7 linked regions of the Oryzias latipes genome follow. The protein of the gene in region 2 purifies or fractionates together with the protein of the main gene of each other region. This does not show direct contact. Links are inferred from orthologs where the notes say so. Each region holds a gene or a part of one and is shown on either strand. Other genes may lie near its edges.

Evidence for each region.
Region 1: the proteins of eif4a3 (region 2) and sap18 fractionate together in Homo sapiens (co-fractionation; 3 studies listed by BioGRID and IntAct, with this or other methods). This does not show direct contact. The link is inferred for Oryzias latipes from reciprocal best matches to the Homo sapiens genes EIF4A3 and SAP18.
Region 3: the proteins of eif4a3 (region 2) and serine/arginine-rich splicing factor 3 purify together in Homo sapiens (affinity purification with mass spectrometry; 3 studies listed by BioGRID and IntAct, with this or other methods). This does not show direct contact. The link is inferred for Oryzias latipes from reciprocal best matches to the Homo sapiens genes EIF4A3 and SRSF3.
Region 4: the proteins of eif4a3 (region 2) and ncbp2 purify together in Homo sapiens (co-immunoprecipitation; 3 studies listed by BioGRID and IntAct, with this or other methods). This does not show direct contact. The link is inferred for Oryzias latipes from reciprocal best matches to the Homo sapiens genes EIF4A3 and NCBP2.
Region 5: the proteins of eif4a3 (region 2) and upf1 purify together in Homo sapiens (co-immunoprecipitation; 8 studies listed by BioGRID and IntAct, with this or other methods). This does not show direct contact. The link is inferred for Oryzias latipes from reciprocal best matches to the Homo sapiens genes EIF4A3 and UPF1.
Region 6: the proteins of eif4a3 (region 2) and sf3b1 purify together in Homo sapiens (co-immunoprecipitation; 3 studies listed by BioGRID and IntAct, with this or other methods). This does not show direct contact. The link is inferred for Oryzias latipes from reciprocal best matches to the Homo sapiens genes EIF4A3 and SF3B1.
Region 7: the proteins of eif4a3 (region 2) and ncbp1 purify together in Homo sapiens (co-immunoprecipitation; 3 studies listed by BioGRID and IntAct, with this or other methods). This does not show direct contact. The link is inferred for Oryzias latipes from reciprocal best matches to the Homo sapiens genes EIF4A3 and NCBP1.

What each region holds. Positions count from the first base shown.
Region 1 is NC_019860.2:16,860,045-16,863,531, reverse strand, and holds sap18 (histone deacetylase complex subunit SAP18), read right to left. Parts: upstream 2,148-3,487; 5' UTR 2,026-2,147; coding exon 1,954-2,025; intron 1,236-1,953; coding exon 1,126-1,235; intron 1,027-1,125; coding exon 904-1,026; intron 835-903; coding exon 678-834; 3' UTR 551-677; downstream 1-550. Other genes in the region: rtraf (RNA transcription, translation and transport factor protein), read right to left, coding at 301-361. UniProt on the Homo sapiens protein: Component of the SIN3-repressing complex. Enhances the ability of SIN3-HDAC1-mediated transcriptional repression. When tethered to the promoter, it can direct the formation of a repressive complex to core histone proteins.
Region 2 is NC_019859.2:158,171-162,416, forward strand, and holds the start of eif4a3 (eukaryotic initiation factor 4A-III), read right to left. Parts: upstream 2,821-4,246; 5' UTR 2,718-2,820; coding exon 2,564-2,717; intron 1,690-2,563; coding exon 1,617-1,689; intron 1,544-1,616; coding exon 1,477-1,543; intron 1,394-1,476; coding exon 1,331-1,393; intron 1,249-1,330; coding exon 1,116-1,248; intron 1,051-1,115; coding exon 970-1,050; intron 1-969. UniProt on the Homo sapiens protein: ATP-dependent RNA helicase. Involved in pre-mRNA splicing as component of the spliceosome. Core component of the splicing-dependent multiprotein exon junction complex (EJC) deposited at splice junctions on mRNAs.
Region 3 is NC_019863.2:2,322,397-2,326,613, reverse strand, and holds the start of serine/arginine-rich splicing factor 3, read left to right. Parts: upstream 1-1,234; 5' UTR 1,235-1,254; coding exon 1,255-1,444; intron 1,445-2,111; coding exon 2,112-2,322; intron 2,323-2,456; coding exon 2,457-2,600; intron 2,601-3,072; exon of another isoform or gene 3,073-4,217. UniProt on the Homo sapiens protein: Splicing factor, which binds the consensus motif 5'-C[ACU][AU]C[ACU][AC]C-3' within pre-mRNA and promotes specific exons inclusion during alternative splicing.
Region 4 is NC_019862.2:17,994,081-17,998,271, reverse strand, and holds ncbp2 (nuclear cap-binding protein subunit 2), read right to left. Parts: upstream 2,915-4,191; 5' UTR 2,822-2,914; coding exon 2,747-2,821; intron 2,092-2,746; coding exon 2,005-2,091; intron 1,852-2,004; coding exon 1,757-1,851; intron 1,261-1,756; coding exon 1,122-1,260; intron 1,007-1,121; coding exon 908-1,006; 3' UTR 253-907; downstream 1-252. UniProt on the Homo sapiens protein: Component of the cap-binding complex (CBC), which binds co-transcriptionally to the 5' cap of pre-mRNAs and is involved in various processes such as pre-mRNA splicing, translation regulation, nonsense-mediated mRNA decay, RNA-mediated gene silencing (RNAi) by microRNAs (miRNAs) and mRNA export.
Region 5 is NC_019862.2:13,856,016-13,859,745, reverse strand, and holds part of upf1 (regulator of nonsense transcripts 1), read right to left. Parts: intron 3,709-3,730; coding exon 3,594-3,708; intron 2,994-3,593; coding exon 2,850-2,993; intron 2,706-2,849; coding exon 2,492-2,705; intron 2,402-2,491; coding exon 2,284-2,401; intron 729-2,283; coding exon 572-728; intron 425-571; coding exon 282-424; intron 172-281; coding exon 1-171. UniProt on the Homo sapiens protein: RNA-dependent helicase required for nonsense-mediated decay (NMD) of aberrant mRNAs containing premature stop codons and modulates the expression level of normal mRNAs.
Region 6 is NC_019879.2:178,073-181,802, forward strand, and holds part of sf3b1 (splicing factor 3B subunit 1), read right to left. Parts: exon of another isoform or gene 3,531-3,730; intron 3,244-3,530; coding exon 3,164-3,243; intron 1,493-3,163; coding exon 1,307-1,492; intron 1,231-1,306; coding exon 768-1,230; intron 691-767; coding exon 569-690; intron 254-568; coding exon 56-253; intron 1-55. UniProt on the Homo sapiens protein: Component of the 17S U2 SnRNP complex of the spliceosome, a large ribonucleoprotein complex that removes introns from transcribed pre-mRNAs.
Region 7 is NC_019868.2:27,750,757-27,755,069, reverse strand, and holds the start of ncbp1 (nuclear cap-binding protein subunit 1), read right to left. Parts: upstream 2,827-4,313; coding exon 2,793-2,826; intron 1,400-2,792; coding exon 1,311-1,399; intron 1,225-1,310; coding exon 1,124-1,224; intron 1,051-1,123; coding exon 894-1,050; intron 810-893; coding exon 702-809; intron 344-701; coding exon 222-343; intron 131-221; coding exon 61-130; intron 1-60. Other genes in the region: tstd2 (thiosulfate sulfurtransferase/rhodanese-like domain-containing protein 2), read left to right, coding at 3,067-3,342, 4,272-4,313. UniProt on the Homo sapiens protein: Component of the cap-binding complex (CBC), which binds cotranscriptionally to the 5'-cap of pre-mRNAs and is involved in various processes such as pre-mRNA splicing, translation regulation, nonsense-mediated mRNA decay, RNA-mediated gene silencing (RNAi) by microRNAs (miRNAs) and mRNA export.

The sequences.
Region 1 (3,487 bases), on a different chromosome or scaffold from region 2:
TGATGCACGAACGCAAACGTTTTAGAAAAACTAGCAAGCAGCTAAAAAAAAAGTTATAATTTCTTCAATTAAGTAGATCAAATCATGAAGCTGTCTACGCCGAATTAATTATGGTACAGTAAACTTTCTAAACTATAAATAGAACGACATTTGAATCTTTCTTGTTGCTATTTTGAACACATAACTTATAAAGTTGCTATTTTTAGAAGGGTAGTTTTAGTTCGGCTCCACAATAATGACAACGTCAGCTGGAAACGGGTGAATTTCTCCCCCCTTCGCCGTATTTAAACGTTTTCTTACCCGAACAATCGAATCCGTCGGGGTCGTGATAATCCAGAGCAGTGAGTTTTCTACGAAACATTTCACCTTGGAGATTTTCTGATAGAGAAAACGTGTTTTCACGCCGCAGCAAAGCTAACTACGCTAGTTTGCTGCTAGCTGACTGTTTGAGAATCTACGCATGCGCGACCGGAGACTGCAATCTGTAGGCCTACCTTTCAAAATAAAGTGACGAACTATTTTAGTGACCAAGAAAGAAAAAACAAAAGGGTGAATTTTTGAAATGAAAAGTCTTTATTGAACACAAGTTTTTTTTTATTAGAAAATGACACAAAACTACTGAAGACACAAATGAAATAGAGTTGTCAATCAAAGCACATATTTAGGTGAGCATGGGTTCAGAAAGGACGCATTCGTGGGCCAAGAGGCGGGGCTCTGTTGGGAGGCGTGATGGCGATATCCAGGTAATCCCCAATCTGGAACCGCTGAGACTGCAAGGTCATGGAGTCATCTGGACCCTTTCTGCCAGATATCGTACTGCCGATCTCTTTGAACCTACAGAACAAAACAGGTTCAATCAAAGCAAAAAACCAATTCACAGCTGTTTACGACAATTATACGTACTTGTACATTTTCCCTCTGAGATCAGGGAAGACTATAGCGAAGCTAAAGTGGGTCCCCTTTTTTCTGGCCTCTGGATAAACCTCCTTCACTAAACTGGTGAGTTCTTTCAGAGTGGCATCCATCCTGGCCAAAAAAAAAAAAAAAATGAAAGAAATAGACTCACTTTAGATTTCATTTGGACTCTTGGGTTAAAGTACCAGGAAGTCGGAACCAGTTACGTACCACGTGTAAATCTGCAGTTCACTTGAGGGAACATTTCCTCGAGCGAATTCGTCTACTCTGTGGTGGCGGCCGCTGTTGGTGGTAAAAACTCGCAGCAGAAGAGGGCAGGTCTGCAAAAAAGAATACAGGCATTACATTTAAACAGTAACTGAAATACTGGGTCCAAAGACCTTTTTTAAATGCTTTTATTTTGCAAGTGAAACGGAAGTGTACTGTGTGCCAGCTGCTGAATTCTATTAGACTGCCTGCCCCTCGCGCTATATTGATACATTTAAAACCACTGCATGTGATAAATGTATTGTACTGCATTTTTAAGTAAATAATTTACAATTATTTTACAATCCAAGTGGTTCCAGTTCAATGTCGTAGTATCGACTTTAGTCTCAGCGAGGGAGGGTGGGGAAGGGGGGGTTGAGGTTCTAGAACCCACTGATCCAAAGTTCGGGAAACCCGATTAAACAGGTTCGACCAAAAAGCACATGAATAAAGCCTCCCTTCAGAACATAAGCCCACGCGACCCAAATGTAGGGGGACACGAGGGACCAGGACCCTGGTAATCTCACATGATGTAGCCATCAGCTAGCAGGCTAACCCTAGCACGCGTATGTCACCAAAACGGTTGATTTCTTTTAACCATTAAATCACTTATTGGGTTAATTTAAATAGACTTTTATAAACTACCTTTAGCAGCAAAATTCAGCCACAAAAATAGTAATTTTTGCTGCTTTCGGCGTTGGACGTTATTGTGTTTAATACCCTTTAGCATGTTGTTAGCCTAGCAAACCAGGCTGCTAGCTACATCCGTGGCTAACGAGCCGCTGTTTTTACCTTCTCCCGGTCAATGGGTTTCTCTGGCTCCTTTTTAATTTCTTCTTGAGTGATTCTGGATTCTAAAGCCATTTACGTTTCTCGGTGGTGTTGTTTTAAAAGAAAAAAAGAAAAGAAAAATCCAGACAGACTCTTCCGACTTCTTGTTTGTAGAGTCAAGGCTGCAGCAACGAAGAAGCAACGAATTACTAGAGTTTCCGTTTCCGGTGTTTTTATTTATTTATTTTTAACAAAGTAAAATATATAATTTTTATTTTTAAGTTTCATCTATTTTGTTCAACTTTTAACTGAGGTAAAATATCAATTTTTGTCTGGTAGTTACTTTTGTGCTTTTTGTTTTCTCTGAGTATTTTTTCAACTTTAAATAACAATACTACTTTTCAATTATGTATATATATATATATATATATATATATATATATATATATATATATATATATATATATATATATATATATATATATATATATATATATATATATATTTGAACAGATTGACTAAAAAACTAAATATAATAATACTCTACCATAATATATACATAAGATAATCAATATTGACAAATATAAATAAACCATTCCTGAGTTACAAATTTCAAAATAAGATGTGCATTGCTCTTTCAAAATAAAAAGTTGGTTTTAATTTCTATAGAAGTCGGCTTAACCCTTGTGCTATCTTAGATGACCCCACCCTTACTTTGACGTGTTCTCCCTACCATGACAAAGGTGGATAAAGGTGAAGAAGATTTCATGTAATCCATGGACACCAGTGAAGATCACAAATCATTGAAGAAAAAAGGTTCAGAGCACTGTCTAGTGGGTCTAGATGACCCAACTCCCAATGTTAAAGTGCCTAGGATAGCACAAGGTTTAAGAGCACCTTTTACCGCTTTGTGATTCTTTTTTAAACTTTTCTGTGACAGTTCCCAAAGTGCCAAATAGTTGTTGTTTTTTTTCACGACCTTCTGCTTTGATCAATGTTAGATCACAGTGTCAAAAGGGGCAAAGAGCCTCCCTAGAAGCATTAATAGGATCATGTTTTCACAGCCTTTCAGTTTAGTCTGGGAGAAACCATTCATTTTTGGTTAAAATAATAGTAGATTAAAATAAATAAGTCATTTGTTTACTACAGCAGGAATTCCATTCAATCCCATTGTTGGTATGTTACTAACAGGAAGTCAAAAGACTCCAGAAACTGGTCCAACTCTTCAAAGGATGGCTGGTCTGGGATCAGTCAACCACCTACAGACCTGAAACCTACTATTCAGTCACATGCCCTGCTCCCCCCCTACAGATACACACACACACACACACACACACACACACACACAGATACGCACTCGCGTGAGTGTGAGCACTGTACAGTGTGTTTGTACAGTAAGAGACAGGCCCTCCTCTGTTCTCCTGCTGGCTGACCCAGGACCAGCCGCTGGGACCGAGGCATCAAACAGAGGCTCTTTGAGTCCGACCCCGACACTGATCCCCCTTCACCGATATTCATCGGAAATAAGAGGCTCTATTATCTCACTAAAGACTCC
Region 2 (4,246 bases):
CTGCTGTCAGAGACTGAAAATGAAGTCTCAGAGATGTCAGGTGCTCCAAACCGGAGAAAGGCTGCTCCTGATTTTTGGTCCCTGAGACCCAGAAGCATCTCCGTCTCTGAGGCCGGCCCCAAACCTCTCAGAGAGCTCGTAGTTTAGGACGGTCTGCCAGAACTTCAGCCATGACGGCGGCTTTGACTGACCAGGGTCATTCAGGAAGTGCAGTCACGCCGGAACTCAACTACAGCATTCCCATCGCGGGAGTTGCCTTCTAAAATAACCGGCCACAGGTGAAATCCACAAGCTAGCTGTCAACATTTCCAGACTTTTCTCTTAAAGTTCAAGCCTTCGTAGAAAAATCCGTCCAGGATTCTAGAATGAAAAAGATCTGATGGCGACGAAGAGCAAAAACACCAACAGCCAAGCAAAGATGTGTGGTGGTGAGATGAAGACCTCCCCATGCGCTACAGAGACCACCACCCCCACCCCCCAAAAGCTCTGCTCCCCCACGAATCTGGAATGTTAAAGCAGAAATCTGAAACCATTCTCTGCAGTGACACTAGCAACACTACAGACATGAATTTAAAGTTCTGACCCTGCTAGCGGTTCTGCTGAAGATTCTGCTGAAGGTTCTTCCTAACCTTCACTTAGAACATCTCCATGTCACCGTTAAAATTCACTGAAGTGTTGCTTTAAACGTCCTAAACAGGAAGTGGTGACATCGCGGCCCGATGGCGTCAAATGGACTTTTCAAATCTGACACATTAAGCCGAAAACACGACCACTGAAAGGAAAGGTGACCTTCAAGTGTGTCTGGAACAGGTGGTTCCAACCTGGAAGGACCAACCCTTCCTGCTCCTTCAACACATTTCAGACGTAACCAAAGGTGCCAGAGTTATTCTGATGACCAGCAGGTGAGCTTTCAGCTCAGACAGAGCTGCTTTGCAGGTACAGAAGACGCTGAACAGCAGAGGACCTCACCTTTGTTCAGCATCTCATCAGCTTCATCCAACACCAGCATCTTGATAGCTCTGGTCCTGAGACTGCGGCGCCGAATCATGTCTGTAAAGAGACGCCGTCAGCATTCCCGTTTGTGCCACTTTTGCCATAAAACCCATTGAACCCACCAAAAACCCGTCCAGGGGTGCCAGCTACCACGTGCTGGCCGTAGTCCAGCTTGCGAATGTCCTCGCCCACGTTGGTTCCTCCGATGCAGGCGTGACACTGAACGTTCATGTAGTCTCCCAGAGCCAGCAGCACCTGCACACAGGACACCGTGACTGGCACCGCCGCCTCTACCTTACAAGCCTTTGGCTGAACATGGCGGTGGAGGCGGGGCTACCTTCTGAATCTGTCCGGCCAGCTCTCTGGTTGGAGCAAGAATTAGAGCCTGGGTCTCCCTGACCTGCAGAAGGAACAGCATCACCACCGAGCTGCAAACGGGTTCTGGCCCGTCTGTCACGGGACACAAGAACAGCAAGAACTCACCTGGATGTCCAGACACTGCAGGACGGAAATACAGAAAGTGGCCGTCTTTCCTGTTCCAGACTGGGACCTGAATGCAGCACAGATCACACGTTACAGCATGGAGGACCAGAGCACCTGCATGTTTTCCAGCCCAGACTTACTGAGCGATGACATCTCTGCCTTTGATGATCTGCTTGATGGCTCTCTGCTGAATGGCTGAAGGCTTCTCGAAACCTGTAACAGAACCAGAACCTGGTCAGGTGCTGTCCATCTTCATTTCCACATAGAGAAACCTCATCTGAGAAGTTCCCATGCTGCTCAAACTGAGGGGGACCAAAGTGGGAAGTTCTGGTGATGCTGACCAGAAAGAAAAGTTTTAGTCCCACAGAAAGGATTTCTATGGAGAAACTGGGTTTTAGGGGTAAAGAAGGATCCTCTCAAGCACAATAGTCCAGGAAAATGTAGAGAATTCATCTTTATCAGTGCAACACTTCAATATTACTGTAGATACAAATCTGATCGATTCTGTCTATTGGGATTTCTCCCGTCCTTTTGGGTCCAGATAATATGTTCATAAAATGTTCTGCCGTCTGGAGAAGACAGAACACATGAACAGAAACAAAATTAAAATACACATTAAGACAGAAGTGTTGACATATATTTATTAATAGTTCTGGGGGAAATTAGTAAAATATTCGCTACATATACGAAGCCATATAGGATGGGAACCGTCTAACTCCTGGATCATGACTGTTACGAGCAACAATACCAACAAAGATCGTGTCCAGGCATTACTGAACGAAACCCGCAAATTTTAGTATCTGGTTTTCGTTTAGTAAATAATCAACACGAATTTAAACTAATTTCATGTCAGCGCGGCCGCACGCGGCCTTAGCATGCTAGCATGAAGGCTAAAAAGATGAAGTTTTTCTTCCCGCCAACGACAAAATGATCAGGTCACACCAATCTACCCGCTTTAATGTAAGTTATTACGGGATGTAGTCTGATACCAACTACGTTTTCATTCCTTTTTTAAGGTGAACTGAACCACACAGCGGATTTAGGCTTAGCATCTGGAGGCGGAGGCCTCTCGAATCCACCGGCCTACCGTAGGCGTAGATTCCCCGGAGCAGGTCCTCACGGAGCCCCATGGTGTCGAAGGTAGGGGTGACATCCACCTCTTCACTGGTTTCAAACTCCACCTTGGTCATGTCCTCCTCCTTCAGGAGTCTTCTCCTGCCCGGTGTCCCAGCAGCGGCCATGACGGTCGTGTCTGTCTTCAAAACGAATCGGTAGTCTCCGCAAAAGGGGGGTAACCGCTTTGCTAGCTACTAACAGCGCTCCACGTGTCGCTCTGCTTACGTCATCAGCAGGCGACCAGGTTTATCAGGCGGAAGAGCAATTGTTTTTCGTTTGGAAAAAACATTTGAGGTTTACAATATTGTGGCAGCTGTATAAAGTGTCAAACCACAATTAAAACAGATGTAACCAACTTCCTGGATCTTTTATTTTGGGAGAGGTGTGTCCCTCCCGGGTTACCCTAATTGACCAGCTGGCCAAGATGTTGTTGTCCCATGGGGGGGGAATGGGATGACCATTTGAAATCTGTTGCTTTTGCTTACAACATCTCCAAGCACACCAGCACACGGTTTACTCCCTTTTATCTTATGCACGGGCGCGAAGCCCGGACCCCGGCAGAGGTTCTCATTCCTAGTGGGGTTGGTGGCATTGGCAGTGCAGCCACGCTGCCTTTATACGCGTCGTCTCTTGTGGAGCGGCTGGAGATTGCTTTCAGTGCAGCGAGGGTTAATGCAGCAGAGGCGCAGGAGAAACAGAAACTGTACCATGATGAGAACTCTCACCACAAGGGCTTTACAGAGGGTGCTCTGGTCTGGCTTAATAACCCAACAGAGGGCCGCACAAAACTAGCACCGCACTGGAAAGGTCCCTATCGTGTGGATCGGGTTCTGGCTTCAGGTGCAGAGGCCGCTTTGACATATCGCATTGTCAACCCCCTGGATATGTCTGAGCGGGCCCAGGTTGTTCATCATGACAGGTTAAAACGTTACACTCTTCCCCTGCCTGCTGGTTCCCCAAACGACAGTATGTCCACCCCGCCATCATCCTCTCCTTCGGCGGGTACTTCATTGGACCCCCCAGATAATGGTGATCCACCCCAACAGGGTCAGAGGGACGCGTTTGGGACAGCCCCTGCACACTCCCGCAGTGGCAGAATGGTGCGTGCTCCAACACGTTATCAGGACTTTATTAGGATGTAACAATACAGAGTTATGTCACAGTGAAATTTTTGTTGGTGTTGTGAGGAGACTGTCATATGTTGTTGTGTTTTCCTTCCTTGAAAGATTCTGTTGAATAATATGCTGTTGGTTGGCAGGCAATGTTGTATTATTATTCAGATTTTTTTTTTTCCTCTCCCTCCTGTGGTGGGAAATTTGCCGGTGGGTTCTGTAAACTCATGTTGTTCCTGTTTGGTTGACTTTTGTTGACGCCATATTGGGTCTCGAATGTTTATTTCTTAATTCATTTATTTTATTTATTTTTTTGCACTCCCCGGCCTGTTGCATTTCCTGTAGAAATTGTAGAAATGAGGACATTTCTTTTGAAAGGGTGGACGTATGTAACCAACTTCCTGGATCTTTTATTTTGGGAGAGGTGTGTCCCTCCCGGGTTACCCTAGAGACCAGGGGGCGTGGCAAGTTAAATTTGGGAGAGTAGAAGAAGAAGAATAAAGAATTGGTGAGCGGATCCACTAAATGGCGGACCTGTTGTC
Region 3 (4,217 bases), on a different chromosome or scaffold from region 2:
CATTGCCTGCAGCACCATCCTGGACCATCTGTGCATCGGTGAAGGGGACTGGTTGGAGCCACAGATGTTGAGCCACAGCAGGACGACACCAGGAACCAGCAGAATACCACATTATTTATAGTCTTTAAAAGAACATTGGACAGATTTGGAGTCACGTTGGAAATGACATTAGTCATAAAACTGGAAAAACAATCACATTTTCAGAAAAACAAACCATTTTGGGCTGTTATGACAACATGAAGCAGAACTTTATTTTTATAACACAATTTATTTTGTTTTTGAGAAATTTCATATATATAAAAGGAAATGGTCAAACTCTAAACTTGATTTTGAACACTTTTTGAATGAAATAATTAAATATAGTGAAAGTATCAAACAAATAAAAAAGAAAAAAGAAATTTCAACAAATGTAATATTTCAAAAGGTAATTTTTTTAATAAACTCTGCAGCTCATTGTTATTTTTTTGTTTTGCTTTTGTGATGTTCCGTACATTGTGCATTCCTTTCTTTTTTTCTTTCCTTATTGTTGACATTCATGCTTTTGTTGTTGTTTATGACTAAAACTTCAAAAACTGTTTTTTTTCTTTTTTACTTCTTTAAGATCCATTTATAGACTAAAGTACTGAATTGCGACATTTTTTCATCTGCTCCTGGTTCACAACGATTTGAATGAAGAAATACTTAGAAATGCAGTTTTAGGCCTAATTTTCTTCATAAATGTCCTCCAACATGAGAAAAATGCCACAAGAACATTTAAAAACACTAACAACACAATTCTCATCGCTGTTGGTCTTTAACTGCCACCTGTTCTCAGCTGCATTTGATTAGTTTTATGCAAAAGTTTACATCCACATTACTTTACATTCAGCTCTATTAATCTTTTTTTACTTATTGATCACTCCTTTAATACCTTTTTATGTTTCCTTTAATGTTTTATGTAAAGCCCTTTGTATTGTCTTTTTTTTAAATGTTCTCTACAAATAAACTTGACTTGTGTATAACCACTATTTAAGTATAAAAGGAAATTTTTAAAAAAAATCAACAATTTGTAATTATTTGTATAAATGAAAACAGCTGCAAATATTTTTTCTCCATGTATCTTTTGGAGAATTTGATACAACCAACAAACCCGGAAATGAACAGTCAGCGTAAATTGGCTGCTGTGAAACAGGCCTCTGCTGTGGCTAAACCGGTTTAAAATGTGCTGAAGTGATCTTCTCGGCGTTGTCCCGGGGAACACCGAACTGGCTTTTGATGTCGACGCTCGCGAGCGCGCACAGAGAAGCCCCGCCCCTCGCGGTGCAGCATCCTGGTCACTTTTTACAGTCGAACGTATTCTCCGTCACGCCATTTTCCACCGTCGGCTGGAGGCAGTGCATCGGCGAGACGGGTGCACGTGAAAAAGAGTTCTTCTCAGCGGTGAATTCCTTCGGCTCCGGTACAGGTAGTGCAGACATTCACGGACCTTCAGCGCCGTAGACACGTGCTTTAGCGCTAAAGGAAGCAGCCGCGTGCGCCATTGTCTGATCACGTCGTGTGTTGAACCCGCCGCCGCCGCAGGAGGAGAAGGCCGCGGAGTATCGACAGCCATTTTAGCTGCTTTTATTCACCCGTTTTCTCCGTTAGTGAAGTCTGTGTGTTTAAAAAAAAAGTCAAACTACAAAACTGAAATAGAGTTGCTAAGTGTGAGCTTAAAGCTACCGGTTATGGCTAACTTTACACGATCGTGTGGCTAAAGTTAGCATTTTATGCTAACTTTGGTAGAAATGTGGATCAGTTTTCTAAATGATGATCGCGTGTAGTGGAAACTCGATGCGTATTTAGACCCAGCCCACCAAAGTAAGAACATTTGTAACTATATTTATCGAAATCTTCGTTTGTTTATTGTGGCTCATTGAAAAACAGGTATTTGGAGCATCATTATCATCGGTGGCAGAGCAGAGGCGGATCTCCGGCCGTACTGTTAGTTTGGTCTGTCCTGGTTCATCCACGAAACCGATCAGTCGACTACAGTAGAATTGCTTGATTTGAAACCAGAAATGTAATCTATCATCTTCTTATATTTTTAGCTGATCCTTGTGTTTATAACCCCGTGGTTTTGATTATTCCAGATTCCATCATGCACCGTGACTGTCCCCTGGACTGTAAGGTCTACGTTGGAAATTTGGGCAACAATGGGAACAAAACCGAGTTGGAGCGCGCCTTTGGCTACTACGGACCTCTTCGTAGCGTCTGGGTGGCCAGGAACCCCCCAGGTTTCGCCTTCGTAGAGTTTGAAGATCCCAGAGATGCAACGGATGCGGTGCGAGAACTGGATGGAAGGTACGTCCCTCCCTGTGTGATTTTTGTAGGTACGGCCCGCAAAATCCTCCCAAACGGGTTTGTCTGGCCACCAGCAATTCCACAGAAATCAGCGTTTGGTATGAAATGAATGACAGGCGTGAATGTTGTCGCAGGACACTGTGCGGCTGCCGGGTGCGCGTGGAGCTGTCTAACGGGGAGAAGCGCAGCCGCAGTCGCGGCGCTCCTCCATCGTGGAGCAGGCGGCCGCGGGAACGGGACGACTACAGGCGGCGTAGCAGCCCGCCACCCAGGAGAAGGTAACCCAGGGGTTCTTTGATGGAAGGGATTTCTTAGCTTTATATCCTCTTATGTGATTTACTTTACAGTACATTTCCTGAGAACTGCTTTTGGGTTTCCAGTCTGGGTTGTTGTGTTGTTAATTTATCTTTTCTTTCTTTCTTTTTTGGTGACTGTTGACCTGTCTGCGCTTACTTTGTGCAACAAGGAAAACACACAAAATATTCAAATATTTGTCAAAAGTACATTGTGTAGAATGGGACTTTGGCTTTTAACAGCCAGAGTCCTTTTGTGTGTGTTTCGTGTGCACACCCAAATCTTTGTTTAGGAGTTTGACAGTGACAAGAGGTCATAAATAAAGTTTTTAGTTTGGAAAAAGAAGTAAATTTGTATAAAGTTTGGGGCGGGCGGTGTGAGGGGTAAAACTGCCAAATGTCTTTATATTTTTTTTTTACTTTTCATCTATATTAATAAGAATGAAACCCATTGCAGAACCACCACCATGCCTCTTCTCACCACCCTCAGTCAACTAGTCCTCTTTCAGCATCACGCGACTGCTGACCGTCGTGTCCCAATCAGCTTGGCTGGTGCTGTCACATGACCCAGGCTTGGCCAGTCGTCAGGTTGCACCAGCCCATTGGTTCCTCAGCATGCCGTTCTCAACCTCCTGCTCCTTCAGCCTTAAACCAAAGGGCAGCCACCCACTTCACATTCCCGACCAATCAGCGTAAAATGTTCCCAAATGTCTACAACCCACCAGCAGCAGCCGTCAGCTTACCAATTAAAGCAGGAAAAAAGCCACAACCAGCCCCCATCTGCCTGCCATCTAATCACCTTGCAGCATCTGTCCACTCCTATTCCGCCAATTCTACCTACGCGGCCGGCAGTCTGCCTTCCTTTCGTCATATCTAGCTTGTTGAAATCCAAAAAAACTAGTAAGTTTCCCTGCTTCATTCAGTACACTGCTGATTTCAGTTTTGAAAGTGAAGAGACAGCTGGTTTGAAGAGACTTTTATTGTTTAAACTCTAGCTTTGTCATCCACCATGTGAGTCTTTGTTTCAATGGGAGTGATCAGATAGATGGAGCCTGCTGTCAGAGGAGCTTGATGGTGCTGATGTTAGGGGATCTGGGCACATCGTAGGTCACAGCAGTCACAACTCTGTTAGCTGGAAAAAGGCTAGCTTCAGGTAAACGGGTCAGTGGGGGGGTTGATTAGTCAAACACAGAGCAGTTTACAACATTTGTTTCTTTTTTTTTTAGCACAAGAAAAATTTGCAGCCTGTTTCAGTAATTTTTTAAGCTATCTTCACACCGAATGGGATTCACACGTCGAAGGCGTCCAGTTTTGTGCTGACACGATCTGAGGTTCGGCAGCGGCGCCTCGGGCGGTGCATCCAGACTTCAAATGTCTAAACGTTGGCGTTGAATTCGTTAACCACCCAGGGACTTGCCTCAGGCCTGTGATGACGTGATCTGAGGGCTGTGTCCAAAACCGAAATGGAGAATCTGATAGTTTTCCGTCTGAGCTGTGTCTTTATTTGTTCCCACACAATAATAAGTTCCTCTAATTTTATTTTCATTTTTCCCCCTCGGACGACAAGTCATTCAGACGAAGCTCCTGCGGTGGACGGCCGAG
Region 4 (4,191 bases), on a different chromosome or scaffold from region 2:
GCTTTAAGAAAATTGTAAAAAGTCAACTTCTCTTAAAAAGAAAATCATCAAAAAAAGCAAAATTTCTTTTAGCATAGACTTAAATGATGCATCCTCATTTACATAAAGGAGATTGCAGCAAATATTTAAGTAATGTTAATAGCATACTGTTTTCAGACCTTTATAAAATTCATTACGTGGATTATAATATTCAATGAATTTTTTCATTTATTATCCATTTTGTATGATCAAAAGCTTTACAAATAAAACTGACAGTTTAATTAAATGTGTTTATTGTATAAAAAGTCTACAGAGACAAAATAAATTTAACATTTTGAATTCTTACCACAAGAGAAAAACAAACACAAAAAACCCACCCAATTAAACAAAGCTATAACTTTGTTAGAGAATTGCAATCAGAAGGGTAAAAAATAAAAAAGGAAACAGAAAAAAAACATTTCTTCAAAATAATTCACTGGATAATTTATTATCTACTGAACAAAAAAGTCTGGTATGACCCTTTATATTTCTTTAATTCCAAATAAGAGAAATAGGAGTGAGATGCTGCAGGTTTTTCAATTTAGAGAAAATGTTAACTGCACTCAAAAAGAATCATAAAACAATTTTAGAAAATAGTTTTGTAACTAACTGGTGACAAAAAAAAGAGTTAATAAAAGCTCCACCCCAGTAATGCACATTCACTACACCTAAACAAAATGTCTCAATTGTTAAGAAAAACAACAACATTCTATTTCAAATGGATTTGACTGATGATATCAGATTGAAATAAATGGTATTCATAGAAGATTTATTCCTTCTCTGTTCATCTCCAAGTCCTAGATCTCTTTGGACACTGCCTGCTTTTTGTTGATCATCAGGGAATAAATTCAGTCCTGTATGAAGTCCAATCAAAACACTCAGACTTGGTCTAAAAAGTATTGCGAGCTTCTGTGCTCCGCTGTTGCTGCGCCAGCTTCCCATAGCCTCCTCTGGCAGGATCGTAGTCCTGCCTGTACTCATCTCTCACCTACACAAAAACAGAGACAACAATCAAACATTTTCATAGACGTATGTACTTTGTGACGCAAACTGCATCAACAAACACTTTTGGACTTTTCACAGACACTTTAACCATATCTCACCTGTCCTCCAGACTTTCCTCGCCCGTACTGCCGGCCCTCTTTGAAGCCAGCATCCCAATCTGTCCTGATGATGCGATCATCCAGCCGTGTGCCATTAACGAAGCGCATGGCGTTTTCTGCATCTCCTCGTGTGTAATATCTGGCACGCCAGCAGTTAAATCCTTTCTAACAAAAGCTTCAGTCGGCTTGGGCTGCACTGGGATGTTACTGTCGGCTTCTTAATAAGTTTGATAGATTTCATGCAAAACAATTTCTACATTTAAACAGTTCTAAGGTATGTAATAAAACTAAGTTTGTACTCTGTAACCACAAGCAAAAACACTTTAGAGTGAACATTAACAGAATACCTACTATAACTGTAGTTAAGGTTTAAATTACTATACTCGCTGTGTGTTTTACAAACTCATTAGAGCCTAAATGGTGTAAATGTAGATACCTATGGAGCTTTGCCAAAATGATGAAGAAAAGTAACTGCCACAACACAAATCATGAGGTCTTAATTATTTAAAAGATGACAAAAATATTTATCAAATAATGTAAGTCATATGTTATTTAGGGAGATGGAATCACAAAATGTACATTTTTACCTTTGCATAGAAGATAAATCATCCATGTCTGGTTGTTCAAAAGGATACTCTACAAAGCAGAAGCCACAGGCAGTTTTTTTGACTTTATCAAGGCCGATGATGATCCTCTTAACATCTCCGCATTTAGCAAACAACTCATGAACCTGTTAAAAAGTCACCAAAGGAAAGAAATTAATTTTAAAAAAAAAAGACTTAAGACGTGAAAAAAAAAAAAAAAAAATTGACCTAATTATTTCATTACCAGGACTGGAGATCATAACTTCACATCAGTCTGAAGCAGAGTTGAAGAATCTCACCTGCTCCTCAGTGGTGTAGAAGGACAGATTCCCCACATACAAAGTGTTGCTCTGTTTCAGCAGCTTCTCCTGTTCATAACGGTTCCCCTAATACCGAACAAGCAATGAAAAATTGTCAACACTTGACAATTAATAGACATTTGGCACGAAAAAAATACAACACCTTTTTATTTCACCTCCTTTATTTCTTTAAGCTATAAATCAACCTGTGTAAGGCATTTTAAAAGTGGAAGGTTAAAATAAATAAATCTAATCTATAAATTTATTGCCCATTCGAAATGTTAACTATAGATTTTATTTTCTTGGGTCTTCTTGTGCTGCTGCCTCTTGTTGTCCACGTAGCACCCTTTTTTTATTTTTAAATATTTTTAAGATTCATTTATAAAAGGTTCTATATCTTCTAAAGCTTGATTTGAATTAAAGTAAAATTATGCATCCATCAAAACAACGAAAATAACGAACGAAACAGAAAAATAATTGTTTCAGTGTAGCAAAAGCTTTATTATTTTTATATTGAATTTGGACTAAGAAACAGCAATGCAAGCAATTAAAACGCGGTGTAATTAAGAGAATAACATGTTTGTTTTGTAACTTTACTAAAGCGATTGACAAGGAGCAAAATTATTGGTGCAATCAATTTAATTTTAAAATGAAGCATAACCGCGCTTTTGTTTTCACATGTTTTGCTAGCTTGATGGGTCTAAAACAACTCATATGACTTCTACGTTCATTTCTCACTTACCTTAAAATGTTGGTCCCTATACTGACTAACTTCAATGTAAGAATCGCTGTGTAAAGCGTTTAATTTAACAGACATTATGATGCAAACGGTCAAAAAGCCGCGTAACTGCTAACCAGTGTTAGCGTGAGAGGTATCAGTTCCGGTTGTGCGCTCGTTTATTGACTCCGGGTGGATATTTGACCTGGACATCTGACAGTCTTTGTTGTTGGAAACATAATTTTAAATACGATGAGTTATTGGTGATGCTCTTTTTCTACTCATGCTTTTAACTTTGTGATTAAAGGAAATATCTTTAACTTTGTTTTTCCTGTTATTGATAGATTTATTGCTTTCTTCTTTTGGGCGTTTTGTTCAGTTTTGCCTGGGTTATAGTTGTCACGTTTGTTCAAAGTTTGAAATAAATAAAAGCTCAAGCCTCATAAAAATTGGCGAGGAACTTAAAAAAAAGTATTTTCTGTTGTATGAAGATGGCACTTACAAAAGTCTATTTTTAGGTTAGTATATGTTGCCAATTACAAAAATGTAAAAACCTTATATTTCAAATGTTTGGATATCTTTCTTCTTTAAAATAAAATCACCAGCTTTTAAATCTGAATTGATATTTGCTTTACAGGTTTTTCTTTACTCTTTTAGAAAATATTGTAAAGTTTCTGAGATTCATTCAGAAACCTTTATGCAAAGCTATTCCATCTCAAGGGCACACAGAATTGCACCATCTTTGCATAGTATTGCACTGCAATACTCCAGCTGCAGACTATATGTGAAACGTGGAACCATGCTATTGGCTGCAGCCTGATTACAACAGTTTATTCTGTTCTGTCTTACTTTTTTCACATTTTTTTTAAATGTACATTAGATAAATGTTAGTATTTAAAACTGTTACTCATCCTTCTTGACTTTAACAGTTCTACTATATGCAAAATGCCTACTAACTGTCCAGAAGAGAAAACTTTTAGTCTTGTGCACAGATTTATCACATCTGTTTCTTGCTTTTGACTTCTGACACATTTAAACATTCAAAGTTCAAAAATTAATACATTGCAAAAAAAAAAAGAAAAAAGAAACAATTTAAACACAGGGTGGCATTTTATTTTTTGGAACAAAGTGAACACAAATGTTCCCCCCTAATCTGTTCCACTGATTCACTTTCATTGATTTAATGTAAATTTAACTACCTAAACAAATCAGAAATGTATTAGAGTTTGCATCAAAGAAATAAGAAATTAAGAATAACGTTGCTCAAAAGCAGGACAGTTCTTTAGAAAAGATGAACCCAGCTGCTGGCTGACAGTTTGCTACATAGCAAGTCCAAAACATGATCAGCTCATAATAAAGAGTTGTGGTTCTGCTGAGAAGTCTTGACTTGTATGTCAGTTTCCATCATGGTCTCCTTAATGCAACAGCAGCACCTGGAACCGGAAGACAAAACCAGAATAAATGAAAAC
Region 5 (3,730 bases), on a different chromosome or scaffold from region 2:
TTGATGGTGTTGACAAGTTTACGGGGTTTGCTGAACTGCATGAGGCTCTCTCTGAGGTTGTTGAGGGGCCCCTCCACCAGAACCTTCTGCTCCTTGTAGTTGTTCAGCAGGTTGTTCCACAGAGGCTGTTTAGACAGGGCTTTGGGGTTCCCCACAATGATCACCCCATACCTTCACACAAACGCACACAGATCAGGTTAGAACCACAGGAGACTGAAAGTGAGGTTCAGAATCTGCACAAATGAGAAGCCCAGGTTGCTCGTGATCTAAACGGTTCTCACTTGGCTCTGGTCAGCGCAACGTTGAGACGACGAGGGTCGTTCAGGAAACCAATGCCCTGGTGCTCATTTGCACGAACACAAGACAGAATGATGAAATCCTTCTCTCTGCCCTGGAAGGCGTCCACGCTGGCAATCTCCACTTGCTATGATGGAACAGGAGAGATGGGGGTATGTCTTAGTAACAGCAGCACAAACACAGTAAGCATTTTAAATGGTTTTGGGTGAATTTGATTTATCATATTCTGTTGATATTTTACATTTTTAGGAGGAAAAGTCAGAAGTGCTGGTACCTGATAAAGTTTGGTGTGCAGGGAGCCACTGAACTGCATATACTGGACCAGGTAGGAGCGCTGGCCCTCATAAGGGGTGATGATGCCGATCTGATCGGGTTTGGCTCCTGCCTTCAGCAGCCTGGTGGTGATTTTCTCAACGTTTGCAGCCTCAGTCCTTAAGAAAAGGAAAAATGGGAATAAAGGCGCTACTCAATCTTCTTTCTCAACAACAAGGCTGGAACATTTTCCTCACTTCTTGTGTATGTTTGGAATGTTTCAACAGTTTTGTTAGTAGGGATGGGTACAGAGCCCCGGTATTGAACGAGCCCCGGGGCAACATTCTTCAAGGCCGCAGTATCGTTAAGATCTGACCTCAACGGTTCTGCTATCGGTACTGGAAAAATCTGGTTTTTTTTGTGTCCCACAAGATATAAACGGTATCTGCCATATTTAACTCACCAAGTTAGTCAATTTTCCGTTAATTAATGATGATATTAATTTCGCTATTCTCGCTGAAGAGGAAAGGTCTGTATGGCTATTTGTGTGCACGGGGGGCGGGGCTGTTGTTCAGACAGTACGCAGGCCCACGTAAAAATTAATTCAATCTGCGCTAGAGCGCCCCGACTATCGTGTCAACCAGAAGCTATGATGACCGTATTTTGCGCTCTCTGTGAAGCATACAGTGGAGGGGCACGGAAAAAAACAACGACTCGCTGCTGCAGAGGAGGTGAACAGGTAGAGAGGAAAAGCAGGTAGAGAGGCGGGGGAGGGGCTTTGACTTCAAACTGTCAGAGAGATGAAAACACGGGCGTCAGATTAAGACGCAGCTTTCACTGCGGGAGTTGAAGCACAGACTTTCTCTGGGATGAGCTTATGAGCTCAAACATTTATTCAATTTGTTTAATATTTACATCATGATAGCAATATGTCAAAACATTGCTGTTTATTTTTCTTTTTTCTTCATGTATTTTACTTTTCAAGTTGGAAAATGTATAAAGTAAAATGTTTTGTTAAAAAAACAATGTTGCATAATGAGGAAATAAAACACTTTATGTTCTTTATTTGTTATTTATTTTTTTTTCGTCCTCAAAAAGTATCTATAAGAGTATCGTTAAAATAGTGGATCGATAAGCAGCATCAGTAAGAGTAGTAGTACCGTTAAAAGCTTAACGATACCCATCCATATTTGTTAGGCAAAAAGAGAATCATTTTCGTCCGTGTTTGTTATTTGTTAGATTATTTACATGAGTTGAGTAGCTTAACCATGGTGCGGTCAACCTTTGGTCAGAATATTGCAGGTTCGATTCCCGCCTTTCCTGCCCATATGTTGAAGCCACCTTGCCTCTAGTGGAAGCTTGGCGCCATTGTTCGGCAGCAGAGTGTGTGTGAATGTGTGTGTGAATGTGACTGTAAAGCGCTTTGGGCCTTCGAGGAAGGTAGAAAAGCGATGTCTAGGCTATTTACCATTTAAACCTAAGCTTTAGCTGTGGTGTTGACACACTCTTTAAACGTTTATGCAATTAACGGAATTCCAGCAGGTTTTGTAGCAGAGAAAAGAAGCTTTGTGCTGAACAGCACTTTACGTTGGTGATGTCTTGCATAACGGTGCAAAGCCAAAATGAAGAGCTGCGTCAGAATCAGCCGATTCACCTTTGTCAAAGATGTATATCAAAGAGCGTGTGTTTTTTAGGTGGTGACATCTCTGGAGATAAAGGGTGAAGTGACTTTACCTGTTAAGGTAGGAGGTTCCAGAGCTGGCAATTTCCTCCTGACCCTGAGTCACATAGAAGAACATGGGTTTATCTGGCTGAGGCCACTGGAAGTCGAAGCCTTTCTTGATGCGATCAGCTGGAAACGACATGAAAATCTCATTGTTTTCTTCACAGCTTTTCTCAGTCCGTGGGAATAAAAGCTCCCCCGAAGGGTCTTTAGACAAACCTGCAGTGACACCGTTCTGCAGCGAGCCCTCATAGAAAATGTTGGAGGGGAAGGCGCTGAGAGCCGGGTGCATGCGGTACTGGACCTGCAGGCGGATTGGCCGGATTCCCAGAACCACCAGTCTTTCAAACAGAGACTGAGACAGGCCCGCCTTTGCTGCCTTCTTGCACATCACCACAGGACCCAGCTGGCAGTGGTCCCCGACAAGAATGAGCTGGGAGGAAGAGTGCAGGTCAAACAGATGTCACACATATACTTGTGATTCATACGTGTGATGACAAATATCCTAAATTAATGTTGCAACAAAGCAACTGAACATCCGTTTGCACTTCTCTGAACAGAGGTGGGATTTATTTACCTGTTTGGCTCCCAGCACCACCGGCACCATACACTCCGGCTCGGTGGCCTGGGTGCTCTCATCAATCAAGATGGAGCGGAACTGCATCTTGGCCAAACGGGGATCCCCAGCCCCGACACAGGTGCAACAAATCACATCAGCGTTCTGGAAAAGAAAAACGGGAACTTATAGTTTGTAGAACTCTTAAGACCTGTGCAAAAGATAAAAAGGTCACTTCTTCTTTATTGTTGATATTCCACTTAGGTGTTATGCCAGCTGAAGTACGGTACTGTGGGGCATTGATCTTCAGTACAGTCAGGTTCTCACTTTAAATCTCTATATTGTTTGCTCTGCAGCTTGCAGTTGTTGCACGTATACAGCAATAATGCTAACAACACAGTACATACACAACAAAGCAATGGTGCATCTGCACTGTTTTTACAGTTTTATACCATTAAAAGTAAAAATAAATAGTACAATGGAGCACAAACTCATAGGTTCTCCATGGAAACACCATCTCAATAGAAGATAGTGATCACAAAAAACTCTTAAATGATCTGAATATTTTCTTTTCATATCTTGGAACCATTTAGATTTTCTGTGCTGCTAAAAAAACAAAGCCATCAAAAAAAAAAAAAAAAAAAAAGCTCCGCATAGATGGGATTTTTGATTGCGTGTTTTTTAATGGGCCAGACCAAAAACCCCTTAAGAGTACATAATGTTCTGTCTACCATCAATCATAGTACAAATGCTGAGCTGTCTTACCATGAGCAGCTCCCTCTCAGCTGTGCGCTTCAGAGCCCTGTAACGTTTCTCATCTGCAGACGACAGCTCTCCAGTCTCATCCTTCAGCTGCTGCAGTTTCTGAAGCTCTGGCATACTGTGGAAACCAAGAGAGATAA
Region 6 (3,730 bases), on a different chromosome or scaffold from region 2:
ACCTCCACAGAAAAGACCCCCACCCACCGCAGCCCCCCCGTCCTGCCAGACTCACCAGGAGTTTGTCAAAGTATTGGATGTCATCGGGTTTGAGGAAGGGCAGGTTCCCCGAGGGCTGGTCGTTCATCTGTTTGGTGGTGCGGTCCTCCACCTGCATGTGAAAGCCCGTCATCCCGCCGATGGGGGTGGGCGTGGCCGACAGCTTCCGAGCCGGAGTGCGGATTGGCACATACCCTGCTGGGGGGGGCAACACCTGCAGAAAGAAACGGTTGGTAAGACCGCTCACACCATCAGATTGTAAAGTCATGTAACAATGATCTGGTCATGCAGCATGCAGGCTGCGTGGCCTAAACTCCACACCGAACAGAAATGATGTTACGGTGCGTGGAACAGAACTGCGCTAACCGCCATAAATGATTAAAGTCCATGTCTGGTTTCTGTCTGTAGACCTGGAGCAGACGTTTACATGTTCAGCTCAGTCAGAGACACTGTCAGCCTGTCCCCCAACTCTTATTACACAACAGGGCTTAGCCCATTACTGTTGGGGGGCGTGACACGCCACACACACCTTGTAGCCCTCGGGAAACATGGCGTCCAGCTCCTCGTCTGTGAGAGGCCGGTTCCTCTCATCGATTTCTCTCTCCCACCTCCACGCCTGCAGCTGCTCGGGGGTCATGCTCATCAGGTGTCCTGAGGGACACAGAGGCAGCTCTGTTAAAGCCCAATCTTCTGCTGCCAGGGGCTGAAATGGGGGGGTTATTGTTTACCTGGGGTTGGCGTTGCCATGTTCATGGCTGGCGTTCCTAACGGGGTTTTTCCAGGGGTCAGGAGAGGAGTAGAGGACCCCATCTGACTGGCTGGAGTTAGATCCCACCGGGACTTCCTCTTGCTGGCTCCTGGGGTCGGCGTCTCCCCCACAGACTCTTCTCCTCTGTCTGTTCGGGGGGTTTCCGCCCAGCCGCTCCCGTGACCCGGGGTCTCTCTCTCCGTCTTGGGGGTTTCGTCCCAGCGGTTCTTCCGAACGCTCCCAGTGGCCCCTCCGTGGCCAGGGGTGGCGTGGCCAGGCGTGTCCCTACCAGGGGTGGCAGCTCCAGCGGGGGTGTGGCTAGGGGTGGGGTCCCACATCCGTGAGCTGGGGGTGGCCCCCGGGGTCTCGCTGCCTTTAGGACGACCAGGAGTTTCATCCCAGCGGCTGTTTGACGGTGTGTGAGCAGGAGTGTGTCCTGGAGTCTTGAGGACCAGAAAGATCGGTCAACGGCAAAAGTACTTCACAACCATCAGAGTTCAGGGTGGGGAGGGGGCTCACCTCAGCACCGGCATCAGCCTGGTCCCAGCTGGACACCTTCTTGGGTGTGGAATTGGAAGGGGTCTGGTCGGCTGTCTGGTCCCAGCGGCGCTTTCGCTTTGTGCTGGCCTGGGAGGCAGCAGACCCGTTGACCACTTTCAGGTCCCCCGACTTTGCCTTCTCTGCCAGCTGCTGACGGATCTCCCTCTGCAATCCAACACACAGGAAGTCAGAGCCCATCACCAGTTCACAAAGACAAGTCTCCTACAGAGCTTTGGACTGTCTCATTCATGCAGGGCCTGTTCTCACAGGATTCAGCTGGACTTCGAAGGTTCATTTAGAAAAGATTCCTCTGGTTAGCCTGAAGAACAGAATCCTGTCAGAAGAACTCTAGCTGAGGAGGAAAGTAAACACGTCCCTCTGCTGCATCCATCACGTGTTTTAAAGCCGCCTTCAGACTGAATGTGATTCACAGCCTCAGACCAATGCACAGACAGGATCTGAGGTCCTGCGGTAGCGTTTGAGCGTCGGGAACAGCATGTCAGTCCGGCAGCAGCGCGATCTGAACATCATGACACGTCCAGAGTCAAATCTGAACTTTGGCGAGGATAATGCGTCGCGTAAACTTATTAGGAACCCTGCTTTAGGCATGTGGCGTGTTCAGTGACACGATTGGCGGGTGGAGTAAAAACCAACACAAAGTATCTAATCGTTCCTCTGAACTTCAGATTTTTCTTATTTTCATCGAGACAATAGTAAAATGTCCTCTGATCTTATTCCTAGATGTATTTTTCCCTCCTCGGGGGGCAGCAGTCAGACCGCAGAGAAAGCGTCCGTCATTCAGCTCCGGCAGCAGTGGTGAAGCTCTGTACCGGGAGTCTCTGAAAGATCTCATGGACCCAAACATGGAGGCGTGATGACTTCAAAAGAAATAAATCATCATCCGTGTCTTTCATGTATTGTGAATAAGATGAACACAGACACTGCTCCTCGTGGCGATCAGGCTAAAATCATGAGTTGGTAGCTCCTCCCACACGTGTCTGGGGGGGGTCTAGTTTATGAGCAGACGTTTGGATGAGCGTTGAGCAGAGAATTCGCCGCATGTCCATATAGTGGACGCCAAAGCAAATTTGACAGGAACCTGGTAATGAAGGCAGCATAAGGACGGTAGAACAGAAAGACATTCTCCTGATTTGAACGTCGTATCTGGAATTTTAGCAGCAGCTCCTCCTCCTGCAGCGTTTTGGTTAAATAACACACTGAAGCTCACGTTTCTGTGTCAACGTCTGGTTTGAGCGACTGCTAAACGACTGGATCTTAACGCCACTGACTGTCCATGAAAACTGGACTGACTGAGTGTGATGTCCTCCATAGAAAATGGTTCTGGTAATGGCGTATACTTATATAGCGCCTTTCTTCCTACAAGGACAAAGCGCTTTACAGTCACACACACAGTCACACACTGGTGGCGGCTCCGCTGCCAAACACAGGCGCCCGCCTACCACCAGAGGCAAGGTGGGGTTCAGTGTCTTGCCCAAGGACACTTCGACTCATGGGCGTGCAAGGCGGGAATCGAACCTGCAATCTTACGATCATGGGTCGACCGCCCTACCACTGCTCCACAGCCGCCCGTTTTCTTCCAGGTCCAACCAAATGAAGTCAACTCAGTTGGCATACATGGTAAACATGGTTAACATTTCACTGGCAACCACTCTCTCCAATCAGGCCACACCCCTACCACTAGAAAGCAGACTACATGAAATCTGTCAAATGTCTTGAACGTGGGGGCCAGGAGGCTCCACCCACTTTCGTTGAGGGACTACTCAGTCCAGTTCTCGTATACAGTCACCGGTGAGCGCCGTGCAGCAGGACTCTTACCTCCTCTTTGGACAGGTTCTGCTCCAACATGACGTCTACGTACGACCTCACCTGCAGCTTGGGGTCTGGCGTTTTGCCCCCTGCGCGAAAGAGCAGCAACAAAACAAAAGGCACTCATCAGGTTAGACTGCAGACACCCACACACAGCACAAACAGCTAACCCTGACTAACAGATTAATTTGTGTTGCTGCTCTGTTACAGAATAACAATAACTGAATTACATACAAATATGCTTTTCCTGTTTACATTCTAATGAAAAACAAGAAGATACATGGAAAGTTGAGGGTGTGTAGTTTCTTTAAGTGGATTAAGAAGTATAGCCATCACTGATGCAGGGCTCCTGGGCTGCGCTCCTCAGAATACGTACACTTTCAGTGCCAAGGGTCCTTCTGCAGTCAGACTTCAACCGGCAGAAAAGAAGCCTAGAAAATTTCTCTTTACCATTAGTAACACTTTGGAAAGGGTTTGAAGTCACACACAACAGTATACCACCTGTGTTGAATGATTCACGACACTCAAAGAACAAAGAAGCTTCTTCAGGTCAAACTACAAACCCAGGCTCCACTT
Region 7 (4,313 bases), on a different chromosome or scaffold from region 2:
ATCCTTCTAATGCATCTTTTTAGACTTGCGTTTCAAAACCTGCTTGTCCAAAAGGCTCACCTCTTCCTGTGGATGTGGTTTCTCAGCGGTCCACACCTGCAGCATGGGGACGTGAGTCTTCACCCTCCTCCTGTCCAGGAACACAGCAGAGCGCTGGAGTCAGTCCAACAACAGCTTCAATGGAAAGCAAAAGATGCTCCAGAAAAGAGGCCGCGTCTCACTTGAGGTAGCCTTCGATCTGGCTCAGGAGTCGGTCCATCTCCACGTCCTTCTTCTCATAAAGTTCCTTGCCGACCCACGGCAGGCAGGACAGAACCACGTACACGAACCAGTCCAACCGAACCTGGAGCCAAAAGGGTCTCACGCTTACTGATCTTCATCTTCAAGTCAAATTGAGAAGCTGAAAAATCGTTTTTGTATAAATCTAAAACTATTTTTACACAGAAAACAATCATTTTTATTTTTGATTGGACTGCAGTTCTCCCAAAACCAAGTCATGGAATTTTGAGTCGTCATTGAGAACATCAGATGATACAAAAATAAAGGAGTTTGCTGAATTTGAAATGGGGAAACTCAGACGTTGCAGTAAAACAAAAGGAGGCGCCTTAAATGTGACATTAAGTAAAAAAAGAACGGGATGTTCATAAACTGAAACTTCTGATGCAAACAAATATTCCAGGTGAGGCCGTGCAGAAACAAACCTGTGGCACATCTTCTTCCTGAGTAACACTGATGAAGTTTTCAAACATGGCTACCATGGAAGGGGCAGCGATCACGTGACAGTTGACCAAGTCTGACAGAAAGCGCACCTGAAGAGAGCAGAGAACTTAAACGATGCCGAGAGCAAAAGGCGCTGCAGCAGCTGCGAGTTTAGACATTGAACATCAACAGACCAAGTAAACGGCTTCGTTGTAGAAGTTGTTTTTCAGCGTCTCCTTCAGCTGCCGGATCATGGCCTCCACAAACTCTCCCCCAAAGTTGTAGTTCCTGGCGTTCAGGAGGCCGACTAACGTCGTGTAGACTGTCAGCTTCTCCGGCAGGAGGCGGGCTCTGTCGAAAGACGCGTTTGTGAAAACGGACCGTTTGTTACGCTTGAGAATGAGGAGAACTGCGGACAACTTACACTGCACATAAAATACGCAGGATTTTGTTTTTGTAGTTTGGAAGGTCCGCCTCCAAAACCCCTGCGAGCCCCTCCAGGTTGCTCTCGAGGGACGATGTACTCTTTTAAAAGATCAAAGACGGACTTTAGTTATTGCAAATTATTTAAATAGTAAATATATGGCTTTATGACAAAACGGCCATCGTACTTTTTCTCCAACGCGACATATCAGCGACTCCAGGCGGTCTTCAATCTCAATAGGCTCTGATGTTCTCCTCCTTTTGTGGGCTTGACCTCCTAAAAATGAAAAGGACAGAACTTAAACCTCTGACCTGAGAGGACACTGAAGACAGAAAAACAAATCTACGTTTTGGGGGGAAAATAGTGTATTCGTCTCATAAAATCTAGTGTTTCGACAGTCACACATACTCCATCTGACTTTACTGGAGGTTTCCTCCTATATACTTTAGGTAAACAGAAGAAAAATGGAGAATATTGTGTCTAGGGCTAAAGACAAACAGTTGGACGTCAGCCTGCCGGAGAGCCTCAGAGACCGTAGAGATTTTTCAGAAGAAGCACAAAACCCATCTTTTTAACATCGCTTTGAGATAATTTCATCTGGTTAAAATAAAGATCTGATGTCTAAGCAGGACTTGGCCAAACTTGTTTATGTGTTAAGTCGATCTTTAGTCGACTTGACTACTGTTCCAGTGTTTTTGCTGGACGATACGGCAGCGTATTCAGAACTCTGCTGCTCGGGTCCTTCAAAGGAGCCAAATATTAGACCACATCAGTCCAGTTCTGACCTGTCCGGTAATCTGGATCTGCTCTTTCGTCAGTACCTAGAGTCGAAATCAAACACGAAGAAGCTGCATTCAGCTTCTATGCTCTGTAGATCTGGAACAGACTACCAGAATTAAGCCTTGGATCAGCTGAAACACTCAGTTTATTTAAATGCAGGTTGGTATTTACTTCAGTTCTTTAAATTTTTATTTTGGTGATAACTCCTTTAATATTTCTGTTAAATTTTTCTTTTAGTGTTTTATGTAAAGGACCTTGAATTGCCTTTGTACATAAAATGTGCTTAAGAAATAAACTTGCCTTGCTGATTCTCTCCTTACTGAAATCTCTGAATGAAAGGTAAACACTCAATGGAAGCCAATAGAAGTCATTTATACATACAATGACAAATACATACTAAACTAATCCTACATTATATAAAAATATTGTTAGGTCTGATATTTTTTTAGTGTGGAACCGTGAGACACTTTGGTTGTGAATGTTCCTTTATAAATCACAAAATCCACAGGGCTGTAACATCACGTTTCCATGCGCATGATGATGAACCCACAGAAAAAGTGTCTCTTTCAACACTTACGCCAGTCTTTACAAACATTAAATGTGTTTTGTGTGCCAGAAACCGTTATAAAACATAAATCTGGCCGTTAGCGTTAGCTAAAGTAGCTAACTAACGGAACCGGGTTTTTCTGGTAAAACTTAATCTCTTAAAAATCATTTTTTAAAATCCCCTAATTTATTTAGTAGCTTTAAAAAAATACTTGATATTGGGGCAACGCCTGCTATCGTTGCATTCCTTTAAAGTTATAGCACATACAGATAATCAAGGTAGCTGTAGCTAGCTGCCGCGTTAGCCGTAACGTTTGAATCGCACATGCAGCGCGCGACTTGCCGTCACTGTCGTCGCTGTGTCTCCTCCTGGACATGTTGTCCCCCCTGAGCTGCACGCGTGCAGACACCCGGTGTAAAAAAAATAACGCGGGACAGACCGGTGGATCCGGGAAAAGCTTTGCTTATTTTGAACGGCAGAGTCCGGAGGCGGCAGCAGCAGCAACAGCAGCTTCTTACAGAGAAATAACAGCGGAGCGATTGAAATGATGGACATCCGGGTCATTCAAGGTACAACCGGAAGCTGAACTTCCACTTCCGGTGAGCTGCACACTCGCATGGAAATACAAGGGTATTTACCGCGTTTGAGAACTTATATCTCTCTTTTTGTCAGTATTTACGCGTTCTATCACAAAGTTGCGTTTTTTACGATCACAAACATATTTGTCGTGCATTTAATTTGCCAGTTGAGGAGAATGGCAGCCAGTGAAGCAGTCTGCTCAGAGTTTCTGAACTGGGAGGTCAACACGTCGATGGTTGATCATGGATCAATTAAGCAAAACAAACACATTTCTGCTGCTCACAGAAAATATTACAGGTTCTGCAGGAGAAAGGTAGGAGAATATCTGGCTTCTCTTTCCACAAAGACAACGCAGAATGATTGAAAACAGAATAAAAAATGACTAAACTAATCTAAACTAAATATTGATTCTGACCCAATTCTGGGCAGTTTGCATCTTTTATATATTAGTAATATTATTACTACTAGGTAGTAATATTATTACTACCTAAGGTATTCAAGACATGAAAGTTAGAGAATATCTTTGGTATTTGTTTTTGTTTTTCTGTGTATCAAATCTAATCAATCTTTATTTATGTAAAATTTATATAATTCTAGAACATGATAACACAAAGTGCTTTACACCAAAACAAACAACATAAAAAAGGCACAACAATTTAGAAATAGATCCTGTAGTTAAAAACATATTTGACCATTTTACAGTTGAAAACTCACCTTTCACCAGGCGTTCATTAAATGATTACTTTATATTTAGTGAGGCACATTTACCTTCTGTCCTGGGACAACAAATAGAGGGGGGGGGGCTTTTGGCCAACTGGTAAATTTGCAGAGAGGCTTTTTTTTAGTGTTTGATGTCACAAACAAACAAATACATAAAAAAAAATTTGTTGCTTCTTTTAAATTGTCACTTTAGACATATAAAATTCTTCCCTGTTTTTGTCATAAACAGATTATTACCGTTTACCGGACCAAATAGATGTAAATCAATGCTTAAATCATTTATAGATATGTAATATATTTCAGGCTTGATCAGAGTATTGACAGGCCAAAATTTGGCTCATTACGTAAATATTGACGTGAACCTCAATGATGATGATGATGATGATGATGATTCAAGACATCACATTTAGAAACTCCTTTAGTCGGTCCAACTTTTTTGGAAACCATATATTTCTGGAAGTATTTGAAACAGAATACATTTGCTTGATTGAGGTAAATGCTTTGATTCTTTTTCCTTTTCAGTCTTTTGCCTCGTTTGTGGCTTCAAAGATCTGCAGTGCAGAG